Caenorhabditis elegans: one gene and its partner. The protein of the gene in region 1 interacts with the protein of each later gene in a pairwise test. Each region holds a gene or a part of one and is shown on either strand. Other genes may lie near its edges.

The links. Proteins that work in one complex are often made in the same cells at the same time.
Region 2: the proteins of nsun-1 (region 1) and prkl-1 interact in a two-hybrid assay, tested with the Caenorhabditis elegans proteins (one large-scale study listed by BioGRID).

What each region holds. Positions count from the first base shown.
Region 1 is NC_003280.10:470,575-479,341, forward strand, and holds nsun-1 (26S rRNA (cytosine-C(5))-methyltransferase nsun-1), read right to left. Parts: upstream 5,367-8,767; 5' UTR 5,362-5,366; coding exon 5,269-5,361; exon of another isoform or gene 5,223-5,268; coding exon 5,027-5,222; exon of another isoform or gene 4,981-5,026; coding exon 4,545-4,980; exon of another isoform or gene 3,866-4,544; coding exon 3,574-3,865; exon of another isoform or gene 3,377-3,573; coding exon 3,100-3,376; exon of another isoform or gene 2,929-3,099; intron 2,710-2,928; coding exon 2,441-2,709; intron 1,701-2,440; coding exon 1,502-1,700; intron 1,292-1,501; coding exon 1,188-1,291; intron 1,025-1,187; coding exon 896-1,024; 3' UTR 688-895; downstream 1-687. Other genes in the region: W07E6.5 (G_PROTEIN_RECEP_F2_4 domain-containing protein), read left to right, coding at 6,503-6,539, 6,582-6,677, 6,805-6,936, 6,986-7,058, 7,152-7,221. UniProt on the Caenorhabditis elegans protein: Methyltransferase which methylates the carbon-5 position of cytosine 2982 to 5-methylcytosine (m5C2982) in 26S rRNA. May play a role in the translation of leucine and proline codons.
Region 2 is NC_003282.8:6,983,415-6,990,119, reverse strand, and holds the start of prkl-1 (LIM zinc-binding domain-containing protein), read left to right. Parts: upstream 1-3,184; coding exon 3,185-3,394; intron 3,395-3,572; coding exon 3,573-3,815; intron 3,816-3,910; exon of another isoform or gene 3,911-4,344; intron 4,345-4,785; exon of another isoform or gene 4,786-4,937; intron 4,938-5,210; exon of another isoform or gene 5,211-5,364; intron 5,365-5,572; exon of another isoform or gene 5,573-5,923; intron 5,924-6,048; exon of another isoform or gene 6,049-6,396; intron 6,397-6,549; coding exon of another isoform or gene 6,550-6,660; coding exon 6,661-6,705.

The DNA of each region.
Region 1 (8,767 bases):
CTGGAAATTGGCGTTTTACAATGCAAAAAACCGAATATTTTTCGAAATTTCAATGATTTTCGAGGTTTAAAAGTGTGCTAAATTGGGATTTTCAGTCCAAAAAACCGGAAATTTTGAGCTTTTGCGCTGATTTTTTTGCTGAAAACTGAATTAAAAATGAGTTTTGAAACAGAAAAATTCGCTTTTTAGGTTAAAAATGTCCATTTTTCAGATAATGTTTCTCCAAAAATAAGAATTTGCCGGTTTCCAGAAAAATTTTCGTCACGAACCAGTACCATTTTTACTGAAATTTAGGCGATTTTAGCGGATTTTTAGTGAAGAAAACGTGAATTTTGAGATTTCAGAGACTGAAAATCGTGGAAATTTGGTCAAAAACTGATTGTTTTTGAAATTTTTAATGTTTTTTGAGATTGAAAAGAGCAAAATTTGGATTTTCTGTGCAAAAACGGCAAATTTTCAGCTTTTGCACATAATTTTTTGCCGTTAACCGGATTGAAATGAGTTTTGAAACAGAAAAATTCGCGTTTTCGGTTTGAAAAAGTCAATTTTTCCGATTTTTTTCCCTGAAATGAGAATTTGCCAGTTTCCAGCAAATTTTTACAAAAAAAAAAAATAAAATTCAGGCTTAAAAACCAATGAAAAGCTCAAATTTCAAAGCAAAAAAAAAAATCAAAAAAATTATTTTTTTTTTGGAATAAAAACGACGGATATATAAAAAAGTTTAACAATGATGGGAATAATTGGAACAAAAAAAATAACGAAAAACAATGTAAAAACAACAAAAAAGGGGCAAAAAATAGAATAAAATCAACGAAAAATTGGTGAATTTCAGGCGAATTTGGATATTTTTCGTCGAAAAATTAAAAAAAAAAGCCAAATTTTGAGGAAAATGAGCCTATTGTTGCTTGGCCAACATCTTCTTTCGACGATTTTTCACCGATTTTGCTCCGGTACGGGCGGCCGCACGTTTTGGCACTTTTGACTTGAATTGGGTCGGTTTTTTGGCGCGTTTCACGTTTCCAACCTGCAAAAAATAATATTTTTATATGGAAATTTGGCATTTTTTAAAGCTTTTCAGTGAGAAAATGGCTCGAATTTAGGATTTTAAAAGTAAAATCTACGAATTTTTGGGTTTTTTCGGCTGAAAAAAGCCTCAAAAACTGATTTTTCTGAAATCTAGTCCGTACCGTATTGAAACCGTCATCCTCCTTGACAGCGGCCTGCTTCTCGGCTGCCTTCTTCTGATTACGACGCTTCTTGTTCGCACGAGCTCCGGAGCCAATGTTTTTCACTGAAAAATGGAGGATTTTGATGGTTTTTAAGTAAGAAAATTGCTATTTTTTCCATTTTTTCCAGTAAAAACATTGGAAAATATAATTTTGAGTTATTTTTAGCTTCTGATTTAAAATATTAGCAATTTCTGGTAAATTTTCTTCAGTTTTTCATAATTTTGGCTCAAAAAAAGCAGATTTTCAGCTAATTTCCTCAAATTTCTACGCACTTGGAGCATTATTATCATCATCCGAGTCATCACCATCGGCTTTTTGCTTCTTTTGCTGCTGCTTTTTCGCTGGCTTCTTCTGTCCATTAACCTCTACACCATTCTTCTTCTCCTCTTCATCATCTGAAGACTCAGAAGCCTCAGCTTCAGCCTTATTCTTCTTGTTCTGCGATTTTTGGGCGGCCTTTTCCTTTTCTTTCTGAAAAACTGACATAAATTAGGGGCTAATATCTTGGAAATTTCACGAAAACACAGAATTTTGTCGAAGCTCCGTGATTTAAGAAGATTCTTACATCAAAATAATTCATTTTCTGATAAAATTTGTTAAAATTCAGGATTTAATTAATTTTTAGTGATTTTTCCACACGAAAATTGTAAATTTTTCAGCTTTTCTAATGTAAAAAGGTTAAATTTTCGATAGTTTCGATGAAAAAAAAAAACGCAGAAAAATTGAGTTTAGGGCTGAGAAATGGGACATTTTAACAGTAAATTCATGAAAATTGAGCGATTTTGATCAAAAATTGGAGAAAAAGTGGTAATTTTACATCAAAATCGTGAAATTTGACGATTTTGAGACAAAAATAGTGGAAAATAAGCTATTTTCGATTAGGAATTCTGGAAAATGGGCAATTTTGAGTTGAAATTTGTAAAAATTGAGAAATTTTAAGCTTAAATTAGTCTTGCGGACCAAATTTCATCAAAACCACTTTGGTCTGCTAAATCGAAATTTGTAGTTTGTAGTCTAGCAGACCAAAAACTTTGGGTCTGCTAAACCAAAACTTGTAGTTTGTAGTCTAGCAGACCAAAAACTTTGGGTCTGCTAAACCAAAACTTGTAGTTTGTAGTCTAGCAGACCAATTTTTGGTAGTTTTTTCGGGATTTTCTTCATTTTTAATGGATTTTCCGTCAATTTTTCCAATTTTCTCCGCATTTTTTTACCTCCATGACACCCTGCTTGCTCATTTTCGCATTAGACAACTTCTTGATCTTTGCCACGTAGAATCCATCAATATTATGAACATGTGGATAATAGCGTTTAGTCATTGAAAGTGACGGATGGAAACGATAATCACGGAATCGTGTATATCCATCCACACCAATCGATAATCCAGTTGGAACAAGTTCACAGTGACGACGTTCCAGAAGGAAATTGACGACGGCTTCGTTTTCCTCGACGAGTACAGAGCACGTGGAGTACACGAGATATCCTGGAAAATTAGATTTAAAATTGGAAAAACGGGGGTTTTCAATATTTTCGGAGCAAAATTATGCTCTTTGAGAGCGATTTTTCAGTTTTTAAAATATAAATCACAAAAACATTGAAAAATTCGATAAGTTTAGTGCAAAAATCAAGAAATGTTCGATTTCAACGTTATTTCGCTATTCCAGAGCCGATTTTTATAGTTTTTGTTCTGTAGATTTTCCCGCAATTTTATCATTTTCAGGAGAAATTGCACATTGAAATAGTTTTTAGTGCAAAAATTGAGAATTTCTCGGTTTCTAGAGAAAAAATGTGGCTTTTAGAAAAACAATTTCAATCTTGGACGCTTTTTCGCTATTCTGGGTCCTATTTTCGTGATTTTTGCAAATTTCCGCACCTCCATTCGGAGAATTAGCGTCCAACGAGTCCAAAGCAGAGAGAATCAGCTGTCTTTGCATAGTATGACGTCTCTGAACATCCTGTGAATCTTTGGATGTTTTAACCGATTGATCCTTCCAAATAACTCCAGTTCCAGAGCATGGTGCATCCAAAAGAATACGATCAAAACCATTCGGACGGATTTTCGAGAACTCTTCTCCTCCCAGATTACAAACGACGGTATTGTTGACTCCGAGGCGATGGAGATTTCCAATGATAGCACGGCAACGGGTGAACTGGAAAAATAAAGTTTTCGGGAGATTTTTGATGAAAAATCAATTTTTTTCGGATGAAAATTGAATTTTTAGGAATTTCCCAATGAAAACCAGGCAACTTTTGATAGTTTTTCGTTCGAAAATGTCAAATTTTCTACTTTTTAGATTGAAAATTGTAATATTTCAGCCTTATCTATTTTCATCAATTTTTCACGTACATTCGCGTCGTTAGCGAACAAAACTCCGCTATTCTTCATAAGAGCAGCAATATGACTGGTTTTTCCTCCAGGAGCAGAACACATATCCAATACACGATCTCCTGGTTGTGGAGCCAAGGCCATCACTGGCAGCAGTGAATTGAGTCCTTGAATCATATAATGTCCGGCCAAGTATTCGGGAGTTGCTCCAACTGGGACCTGAGAATCATAGACAACGAGTCCAACTTTAGTCCAATCGGCGGCTGGATCCACGTTCATTCCACGGTTGATGAGGTTCTTAGCGAGGTCACGACTGAAAAATGGAAATTGTTAGCTTAAAAATATGAAAATTGAGCGATTTTGACAACAAATTGGTGAAAAACGAGTAATTTTTAGTTCAAAAGTAATAAAAAAGACCAGTTTTTAGTCCAAATGAGTAGAAATTAAACGATTTTAAATAATACAATAGTGAAAACTGGCGATTTTGGGACCAAAATTATGGAAAATGAGCTGTTTTAGATCAGAACTAAAGACAGTGGGCAATTTTGAGTTGAAATTCGTGAAAAATCAGCACTTTTAAGTCTAAATTAGTCTAACAGACCGAATTTCAGACCCAATCTATTCAAAATCACGTGGGTCTGCTAAATCGGAATTTGTAGTTTGTAGTCTAGCAGACCCAATCTATTCACAATCACGTGGGTCTGCTAAATCGAAATTTGTAGTTTGTAGTCTAGCAGACCCAATTTATTCAAAATCACTTGGGTCTGCTAAATCGAAATTTGTAGTTTGTAGTCTAGCAGACCCAATCTGATCAATACTATTTTTCAAGATGAGGACATGGAAATTTTATCACTTTCCAGTTGAAAATCGCGGAAAATAATTTTTAGCTGAAAATCTTCAAAATTGAATAGCTTTGCATTATTTTTTATGTCCAAAACTTCAATTTTATGTGACTATTTATGCCGAGAAATCCAAAAACCTCCAAATTTTACCGTTTAACCTTGAGCGAGTTGGCTCTAATGGTTACTGGTCTCGGATTGTCGTTAGCCTCCAAAAACTCCAATAGCTCCGCTCCATTTGGGAATAAATCCATGAATTTTCCCATTAAATAGTCATTGTATCCATACTGTGAGCATAGATCCTTCTTCAGCACTTCTACATAGTTTTCACGCGATTTCTGTGGATCTCGGCGATTCTTGAAGTCTCCAAGAACCTGGATGACGTCGGCAATACGCTGCTTCACAATTTCCAAGTTTGGCACGGATTTCATCTCATTTTCAATCTCCTCGACGGTTGGAAGCTCGAAAGTCGCTTGATTTGCGATGTTTAGCTGCAACTCTTCCTCTCCTTCAGCGATAATCTTCTCCTTCTGCTTGTCGAGAGCCGCGGATTTTTTCTCGATTGGCAGATGATCTCCGGCGTCGGAATCTGGAAAAAAATTTTAATTTCAGGGTTTTCAGATGTTCCCCCATACCATCATCGGAATAGTCATCTCTGAGATCTTCATCGTCACTTCCTGGGAAGCTGAGACCTTCCAGGCCGTCCTCGTCATCGTCGATAAGCTGCAGCTTCTCGACCTGCTCGATTGGTTCCTCCTCATGAGCCTTTTTCGCCGATTTCTTCACCTTTTTCACTAGCTTCTTCTTCTTTGGAGTCACTGCCTCGGTTTCCTAAAAAATTGGAGCTTCGTCGTGAATGTTTAGTGCAAAAACTCACTGCAACAGGTCTTTTAACGGCTTTCTTAACTTCTGGCTTCTCTGTAGCAGCTTTTGAGGCAGCGGACACCTTCTTCTTCTTGACAATTGCCATTTTACCTGAAAAATACTTCTTAAAGTTTGAAAAAAACGCAGAAAATAGTGACAGAATGGCGAGAAAAGTGAAAACCCCAATTCCTCCGCTTGAGACTGATTTTTACAATGTTTTACTGGTTTTATGCAAGTTTTAACTTCAAAATTTAATTTTTCACATATTTTCAAAATAAAACACCACAAAAAACTGACGAAAAGCAACGGAAAAGCCGAAAAATCGATCGCCTAAATTCGAAAGAAATTGCATTGAAAATTGCACAGGCGTGCGGTAGAGCGCGCTTGCCGACGATGGCCGTGTGGGGGTTTCTAGACCGCGAACTCTGGCTGATGCCTCAAAGGCTGATGGCGGCTTCACGTCGAAGAAGGAATTGCCACTCGTCGTGACTAAAGAAGAAACAGCGCCGACAATAGCCAAAACAGATGCAGGAAATGCAGAATCCACAGTTACAGAAGTCAAAAAATATGCGTTAACAATATAACACGTATTTGGAGCTCGAACAACGCTGACATGCCAAAATGTATTGGTAGGGAAGTTTTTGAAAGAAAAAGAGTGTGAATATATGTCAATTAACTTTATGCTCGGCAATTTTGACAATTGCCAAAAATATCAGCGTTTGGCAATGTCCGTCGTTGCCAAGCGTCAAACATTTTTGCGATTCGAGAAACAACGCCCGAATAGTAAATTATTTTATTGTAATATTTCAGAGTCGAGGCATTCAAACTGGCAATTGCTTCTGTTCTAGCCTTGTTTGGATATCTAAGCCAACTCCTTCTCTGTGTTCTGGCTATTTCAGTAATTTGTACAGAGGATGCAAAGACATTGAAAGACGAATTAGTTTGGGGACTGCTTATCAAGGATTGGTTGTTCAGATTGAAAATTGTTGCTGCAGGGACAATTATTGTTACGACCATAGTGGCGGTCTTCCTGTTATCTTCGCTATACCGCCTGTATTAAAAAGAAAAAAAAGCTGAAGCTAACGCACCAATTATTAAAACAAAAGTGAGTGAAACGAGTACAATTGGAATTTATTTCTAAATTTTAAAAATCTGCAATTTTCTGCTCTATTTTTGGAAATATAATTTTTAGAGTTGCTGCTCAATTTGTGAAAAAGTTTTCGCTGGAACTCGCATTCATTCCGTGGATGTTAATTTTATTAGCTTCCGTCACGCTGATAAAAGGTAAAAATTAAAGTTAAAACTGTATTTTAAGCTATTTTGCAGGAGAACCGAAATGGGATGATTACCAGAAAAGGGTGTTCAATTTCTGCTCACTCTCAATATTCTCTTTTGTTGCGTCGACATCGTTTTTCTCGCTGAGTTAGTTTCTAGTTACTTATTTTGACCAAGAAATACAATGAGGAAAACTATTACCTATATTCCGCAGATTATAACCTTTTGACCAGTTTTGCGATGTTACTTAGGATAGCTATCTCAAAATTTTCAGAATGTCATTCTCCAAAACATTATTCAAACAGTGAATTATGGGTTCTTCTCATTTTGTGGATTGTTTGCGCGTTATTTCTATGGGCACCTTCTTTTCTCGGAATATATGTACACGTTAGTACAATCGTGTCTCGTATGTTGATATATTTTTCATGAAAAATACAACAAAATTTCTTCTTCAGCCCAACTCGCGTTTTCGTTACAATTCTCCGTTGTCCGATTCGGTTTCTTAAAAAACTCGCTCAATAAAGTAATGTAAGTCATTTTTCATTTGTAACAGTTTAAGAAATTCTTCATATTCAAAGAATATGGACTGCGAAAGCCAAACTCTTATTTTTTACATTTCAGATTGATTTCTAACGTACCATCAAATCCCACACAAAATCAGACTGCCCCACCTGCCATTGAATTGAACTAGAATTTTAAAAAGAAATGTATTTTTTGTATTGAAATGTATGTGAATAAAGTGCGTTTTCATGCTCATTCTCCCGCTTTAGGAAATTTAACTTTTCTGGCATCGGTCCGACTTGCTTCTGGAAATTGGAAATGGGCAGAGGGAGCTAATATTGTTGGTTCAAATTATTTGACATTGACCTTGTCATTTTTGAATCTTGCCTACCTGCCTGCCTGCGTACCTTGCTTGTTTTCCCCATGTCTGTTTAAACATGTTTTTGACCCTATAAAAAAAGATAAAACTGTCAGAACAAAGAGCAAGCCGGACGATGACAATTTAGTACTTGTCTGCGTCATACCAGTGAGTCTACCGTGTAGGCGTGTAGGCGTTTGTAGGCATCGAAGAAAAAGACAGCCATAGCCTAGAAAAATCATAACTGTCAACTAAAAGCAATTTTAAATCGCTTCATTGTACTTTTTCTAGAAATGTAAAGTTTCGATACAAGAAACTCCTTTAAAATATACAGTGTGGGAAAGTTCTATAGGACCCCCCCTAATTTGAAGGTTTGAGGAACTTCCGAAAATTTTTTCGAAAAACTGCTAATGCCGTTCGTTTTTAAATTGAAAAAAACCTATATACATTTTTTTCCAGAAGTTTATCTCAAAAACTGAGGTCGCGCTGGAAAAAACGTCAAAATCCAGTGTGAAACTTCTATAGGACCCCCCGTTTTTTTTCACGATTTTTACTAAAATCAACAGATTTTGGAATTTTTGACAAAGCTCAAATCAAGTTTGAGTTAGAAATGAGTTCATATAAGCAGTTTTGACTTTAAAAATTAATACGAAATGTTCTCGTGGGATCTCCAGACTGGTTCTGATTCTTCCGATCTTTGATGTTCAAGTCTGTTTCAAGCTTCCTGGTGCTCTCGGTAATGCCAAAACTTGATAAACTCTCTTTAACAAGTTCCTACTAAAATTCCTAGCACGCACTTTAGATGTTTCGACTGTGTAGTCAAGCTGATTTGGCAAAATATGCAGCAGGAAACAATGGAAGGCTTATCAGGAATCAAATCGTTTTTCTTTGATTACAAGGTTCCATGGGACCAATATTTCAAGTTAAATTGTCCCTCACAGATGTTATTTACTATTTTTTGCGTGAATTATTAAATGTGGAATTGTGGCATGTGTTGTGGCACACATATAGAGGCTGGAAAGCTTACTTCGAAAGCAGTCTAACTTGCAATGCCTCGAGGATCTGCCCTTTCGGACACTGAACGCGCTCAGCTGGATGTTATGAAATTGCTCAATGTGTCCCTGCATGAAATGAGTAGGAAAATTTCCCGTTCTCGACACTGTATTCGCGTGTATCTGAAGGATCCGGTGAGCTACGGTACATCTAAAAGAGCTCCTCGTCGCAAAGCTCTCTCCGTGCGTGACGAACGAAATGTGATTCGTGCTGCCTCCAACTCCTGTAAGACGGCAAGAGATATTCGCAATGAGCTTCAATTGTCTGCTTCAAAAAGGACCATCCTCAATGTCATCAAACGATCTGGTGTAATCGTTCGTCAGAA
Region 2 (6,705 bases), on another chromosome or scaffold:
TTCCGTTTTGGCGGAACGTATACCTATACCTCTTTTTATTTCTCTTTATTGATATTAAAAGGGCATCGGAGGTATAAAAAAGGAGTGTCATCAGCGACGATGATCATCGATTATCATGTTTTAAGACTCTTTCTAAAGGTTCTTTTGTTCGAAAAGTTTGGCTTTTTTTTTAGCCCTTTTCCTCCAACTTTACAACAATTTTTGTATGCTAGTATAATAAATTCGTGCAACCTTACCAGTAGTTTGCAAAAATGTAATATACACTCATCCCTTTTCCCAGTTATTCTCGATTTGGTGACAGTAACCGTGAAATGTGAAATTGAAGTTCACATCAAATGTATTTTAACGGTCATCGCGCACCAACTTCCATTCCTTCATTTTTTCACATTCTAATCTTTGTTCGGTTGAACGAAACACGAGGTGAAAACTATGATGGGAACCACAAAAAAAGAAAGACGGGAAAGTTTTCTAGGTCATTTGGAAGTGTTGGTGTTTTCTCCAAATTTTATTACTGTTTCAAGGTGTCCATAAATGGCGAGGGTAATTCTTTTGAGTAATTAAAAGTGTTCAAATGTAAGTTTTAACATAACCTTTGAAAACTATTCACTTTCAGAATAGAGTTTAGTAAACTGAAATCGTATTTTGAATTTTCAGGCCATTGTCGATATTTTCCGTTCATACCCTCTAACAGTCTTGCATCGCAATATACCAACCACTTTTTCCAACACTTTAGAACGTTTTTTAATTCAACTTTCATAGACCTTGTTTTCAAAAATAATCTCGGCATTTCAACTCTTTGCCAAACGTTTGCTAGTATTGATTATTCAATACTCAAAAAAATTCTCAAGTAGTTTATGGCCACCTTGAAACTATAATAAAAATATGAGAAACAACCAAAATTTCCAAACGGTGGATGCAACACAATTTGAAACGTTAATATATTATTTACAAAAATATTAGCATTCAAGGGGATTTGCCAAACTTGGTTTTTTTTTAAACTTCAGTGCGGCCTCAACCGATTTTCGCTCAAATCTTACCCAAGTTCGGCCCAAGCTTTGGCAACTTCTGGGCCAATGGTATCTTTTTCGGGCAAACGTTTGACATTCTGATATCATGATATGCATTCTGTTAATGAACCTTCTCCTCCTCATCCCCTTCTCATGCACCATCATCACCATCACCGGCTGTCTTCCGTGATGTGAGGTGTCTGTCTCTCGTCTCACTCACACATGCGCATCATAGGGCACCGACGCAAAAAAGTGTCAAAAACGATTTATTGTCTTTTCTCGTTCGGTCCTCACCATTGCGCCCCTGTCCTCAATGCGTCGCTTTTTTGTGCGGTCTTCTTCTTGGAATTATTACCGTTTTAATAGGCGTTGAAATTCTGTTGGAGCAGGCTTGAGAGCGGAAATTAGAGTTCATAATTAGTATCTTAGTATCTTATAAGAGTTCATAATTAAATAGTAATCTAATCATTACATCTAAGACTTGAAAAAGAGCCCTCAACTTTTGATCTACCGCAACTCTATTCACCTCTATTAGATTAAAACCAACTCCAATACCCTCCAGGGACTTCCAATCTCTAACCGATAACATCTTTAGTACCGATGTATCATAACACCTGTCACCCATAGACACACACACATATATAGACCCTTCCTGGCCGAGATGAGGGGTACATAAACACATGCGGTAAGACTGTTAACCCCGCCCTCAAAATACTGCTTCTCGGTCTGCGTCTCACCCTTCTAGTTGATGTGGGAGGATCCTTGTAGCTTTTGGGTTCTGATGGGAGATATTCCATGCGGTTCCGGTCAACGCCCTCCACATTAGTTTCACTTTTGTTTTAAGTTTTCAATTTTCACAATTTCATTCTTACCGCAAAATGAGTCATTTTTTGTACGCTATACACATTCTGGTGTTCTGGTAGTACAGGGTGTTGTTGCGTTCAATATTGAAATCGTGAAGTGATGGCAATTTCAGAACTGCTACAAGAGCTTGAGCAGAAATCATTTTCATCTTTACAGAAATTTTCAAACTAGGCATTCTACGCCTTCCTATATTTTTTCCAACACACATTTATATTTTCTTACAATAATTTTTCTCCGCTCTCACAAAAGCTCGAGTTACTTGAATATTCGAAATAGTTTTTTCATGGCTCGTTTTTCTCATTTTATTTTTCTCAAAAGATTGTGCCAGCAATTTTTTCCTTAACAACAAATAACAGTTGTAATTACTCAAAAACATTACCCTCGCAATTTATGGCCACCTTGAAACAGTAATAAAATTTTGTGAAAACACTAATACTTCCAAAGGACCTAGAAAATAGTTTATAAAAATATCCTCAAGTACCGAGAGTTTGTGAAAACATGACGTGAGACTTTAAAGGTGTCTTCTACTCCTCTTGATGGATCTTGCCACAATCTCTATAATAGAATAATGCTTCAAATATAAATTATGAAGCGTATGTAATTTTCACATTCTAAAATGCACAGGAACTATCATGGTAAATTTTGTTACTTTTATTACTTTTTTGCGAACACACTACCGCAAAGTCGGAATCAACAGTAAAACTTTAGATTCGTTGAGATCTTAAAGTTCTTCCTTTGAGATGTTCCTATTAATCCATTAGTTACCGTCACTTTTCCGTTATTACCAGTATAATGACAGAGACAAAACGGGGCGGCGTGCGCGACGGCAAACAGTCATTCCTCTATTACAAGGCCATATCAAATTAGCATAAACACACGTCTCCCGATTCTTTACTATTTTTCATTCTTCAACGGGACGTCGTCTTCTAGTTGAAGATTTCGGAATCTTTTTCTCTAATTGAATCAACATTACGAAGAAGACGATGTCCTTTTCTGCAGTGAAATGAGAAATGAAACGGTCAGATGTCGTCGTGGGGATTTACGGGGCAATGGAGAGACCGGTCTAGTTTTGTGGATGATGGTGATGGTGTTGCCAAAGTGATTGACATTTTTATATGGCAGCAAAAAGGTTATAGAGAGGGACTGGTCTTCTTTTCACACTTAACACTTAACACACCCTTTTTTGGAGGCTTTTTTGAAGTGATTTTGCATACACTATTTTTCTTTTTTTCCAAGTCAACCTCAACTTTATCGTATAATTTGCCATTCTCTTATGAAAATGTGTTATTTTCAATTCATAGTCCCTATTTCAGATGAGCGAACGAATTCGCCGTCGTCGTCTCGAAGCATCGGAGCAATTCGCACCGCAGCTCATCTCATCACGTCGAGCTCAAGGTGGTCTATCGCCTGCTTCGAGAATCCGAATTGCAGCTGATGCTCACAGGCATTCAACATCTGATGATGACAGTGGATGTGCTTTGGACGAGTATGCATGGGTGCCTAGTGGTCTGAAGCCGAATATGGTAAGTATAGAGATTTTGAATGATCTCGTGTGCAATAAAGAACAATTGAATTAGGTTTTTGAACACCAAAACCTAGACCAATTAAAATGTTCACAACCTGTGGACCGTTCAAAACAGATGGTTTTTTGTGCACTTCAAATACTGATTCAAATTCAAATTCAAATTCAAATTCTTACAGGTTCATGCCTACTTCGCCTGTCTCCCGGAAAACAAGGTACCATTCATTGGATCAGCTGGAGAAAAATGGCGACAACGTCAATCACGTTATCAACTACCACCACAGGATTCTGATGTTAGATATTGTGAAGATTTAAATGCAGAAGAAGCGGATACATTGCGAATGTTTGAAAGAACTCGAAAAACTGAATGCCTGGGAAGTGGTGTTGTTCAATATGCTCCATTTGATACAAAATGTGAAAAGGTTAGTATTTTCCATCAAAATTTGTTTGGTTTTATTGAAAAATCGTCACCCGGCCTTATTATGACATTCGACCCATTTGAGCACAACCGTAAATCTTGCCAAACTGTGGCGTATGAAACCATAAACAACATTTTCTTTTTCGTCTTTCCGCACCATCCCCAAAACTCATAAATCTTTATGCGCGAGCGCTCTCTTTCCGCGCACCATCATCTATGCTTATGCTGGGATGCTCCTCATCATCATCTTCACGGCTTCTTTTTTGTCGGGCGGCTTTTTGCCTTTGCATTCCCAACGTGTAGGCACTGTCTTACACTTGAGAATAAACAATGACGGAAATTTGAGAAAGGTCATGCTCATTAACAACGGCGAGGGCCGTCTGCTCTCGGATAGTCCCACTTACGAGAGTGCGGCAAAAAAGTTCTGAAGAATGAGAAGAAGAGGTTGTTGACCTCGATGGGGGAAGCCAGCTGCTTAGGTGTTAGATTTTTGTACGGCATGAGAATAGTTGCAGCAACTTGAAAGGGACAAATGGAATCATGAAAATTCGTCGAAAAATAAACCTTTTTTTTTTAATTTTCTGATATCGTTTTTGAAGGTATCGTCAGTACCGTAAAAAAAGCTTCTATGTATAGTGTTAAAATGTTCAAATAAATTTTTGATTTTATTTTACATACAGTCAAAAAGTGGGAAAAACTCATTTTTCATTACTATAATTTTGGAAGGCGTTCAAAAATACTTTCTACGAGTTTCCAATTTCGTTTTAATCGTTTGTATTTAAACATTTTAGTTGTACGAACCTGCTATTTAAACATTCTAGTAGTACGAAACTATGCTCAAAATTTATTTTTTTAAATTTTAACATTTTTTGAAACAATACACCCATACTTTAACTGAAACTTTGAAAAAACTGAACATTTTTGAAGTATTTAAATTATGATATGTGGTTTTTTGTGTTATAATAAGTGGATTTCGAATAAATCTCCACTGACGATAATTTCATTCAATGGCAACCGACTGTCTGCAATTATTATTGCAACATCTAAATATTGGAGAGAAATAGAGAAACAGAGATAGAGTCATAGACAATATGCAATTATTGTCAATGTTCATCCATCTTTCTTTTACTACGAAGCTCCGGCTGTTTGTCAGAGGAGAAGCTGAGCAGCAGCAGTCACTGCTAATTACCTATGCATCGTTACATGTTTATTAATAGGAGAGACAACGGGGCTCATTGTTGGGGTTAGCTTGGATTTTCGTTTTAGGAATTTAGAATTTTTGCTTTTGAATTTCCAAGGGTTGCTAGGGGTCTAGCTTAAGTTAGTAAATGTAAATGTTATGTACAGTAATATACTCAATTTCCGCTCCTTCTGCTCGTTCTCTTTAGTTTGTTCATTGAGTTATAATCTGATTAGAGCCGTCTCAGTGTTAATCTAATCCGGTCATGGGTAGATGGTAGGTAGATCAAACAAAGCTTCTTCCGATATGCGCGCGCGGGGCGTTTTGATCTAAACACTACTCATAACAAGATTAACAAGGAAAATGAGAAGGAAAGCAAGAAGTCAATTATAGGGTGAAAGAAACAGTATATTTTTGGAAGGGAAGTGCCGAACAGATGGTCTTCCTGGGTGCCATGTTACCATGTCATCAATCACTTTTCTTAGAGGATCCCTCTCATAGTCAGGGGTTTTCGCGCATTTGATACCCTTCGCCCAGTTGGTTGCCCCTCCAAGTATCTGGTTTGAAGACCTGAATTAGGAGACATGGGAACATCTGCCTTTTGTAGACAATTCAGGCAGTGTCATGTTGTTTTCTGAATTGGATGTGTCAGTTCCAATTGTTACCCGTGTGCGTGTCAAGGGTACTTGTTAGTTGTTGATAGTTTACAAGTAATTATCGCCGAATATTGAGGATTAGCTGAGTACAAGAACTTGGAAAACAAAAGTATTGAAGTTGTGAAATAGGTAGGTACGTCTTCACTACCTTTCTACGTGCCTCCCAGGCGTAGGCAGAAGACAGGCAGTTTTTCCCTAGGATTACCCTGTCACGTTTTTCTGTTTAGAGGTGTCTGTTGCCTAATCCATTTCAAAATTTTAGGTGTCTGGTTGTCAGATTAGACGCGAGGTCTTATCAACTTATGGTTGTACATGTCTGTTGTTAATGCGGAGGTTACTTAACTTATAACAGAAGAGAAAATTCACAATGTGCACACTTTAAACAACTGAGAATTTAAATATTTGATTCTTAAAAATAAATTTAAATTACAACTACCAACAAAGATTCTAAGACGGTCAAGAGGGTAGCAGTAGGGGCATACCATCTTGTATTTACATAACTATAGAAACACATGGAGAAACTGAACCACCGGCTGGAGGATGCACTTGACCGTATAATGTTGCTACTTATCTTGTAATCTAGTCCATATAAATACTTTTTTGCTTTCATTAAAAACACCTGCTCGAGACGGCGGGGAGTATATTTTGTGGAGACTGTCCTAACAATAAAATGAAGAATTTGGACGATTAATTTTATTTGTTTCTGAAACAGTGAAAAATATCTTGTACTACATGTTGTTAATGCATTTCTTTTCGCCAGATTTTGCATAGCGAAAACGCAACAAAATGTGAACAAATTGTATGTGACAGATTGAGATTTGAAGATGAATTTGAATGGCACATCTCATTTGGAAGATGTTGGATTTTAGATCTTTATCATCTCTCCGGATTTCAATGAGAAAATGAAAATGAAATTGAGACACAAATTACAAATTAACTCGTTCTGGAGTAATCAGGATTATTCAATTATTCAACAAATTTTGAAAACACGACTAGAATATGTAAATTTTCAGTGTCCAAAACGTCTTGAAGAAGGAGAAATCAGTGTGATGGCTGCA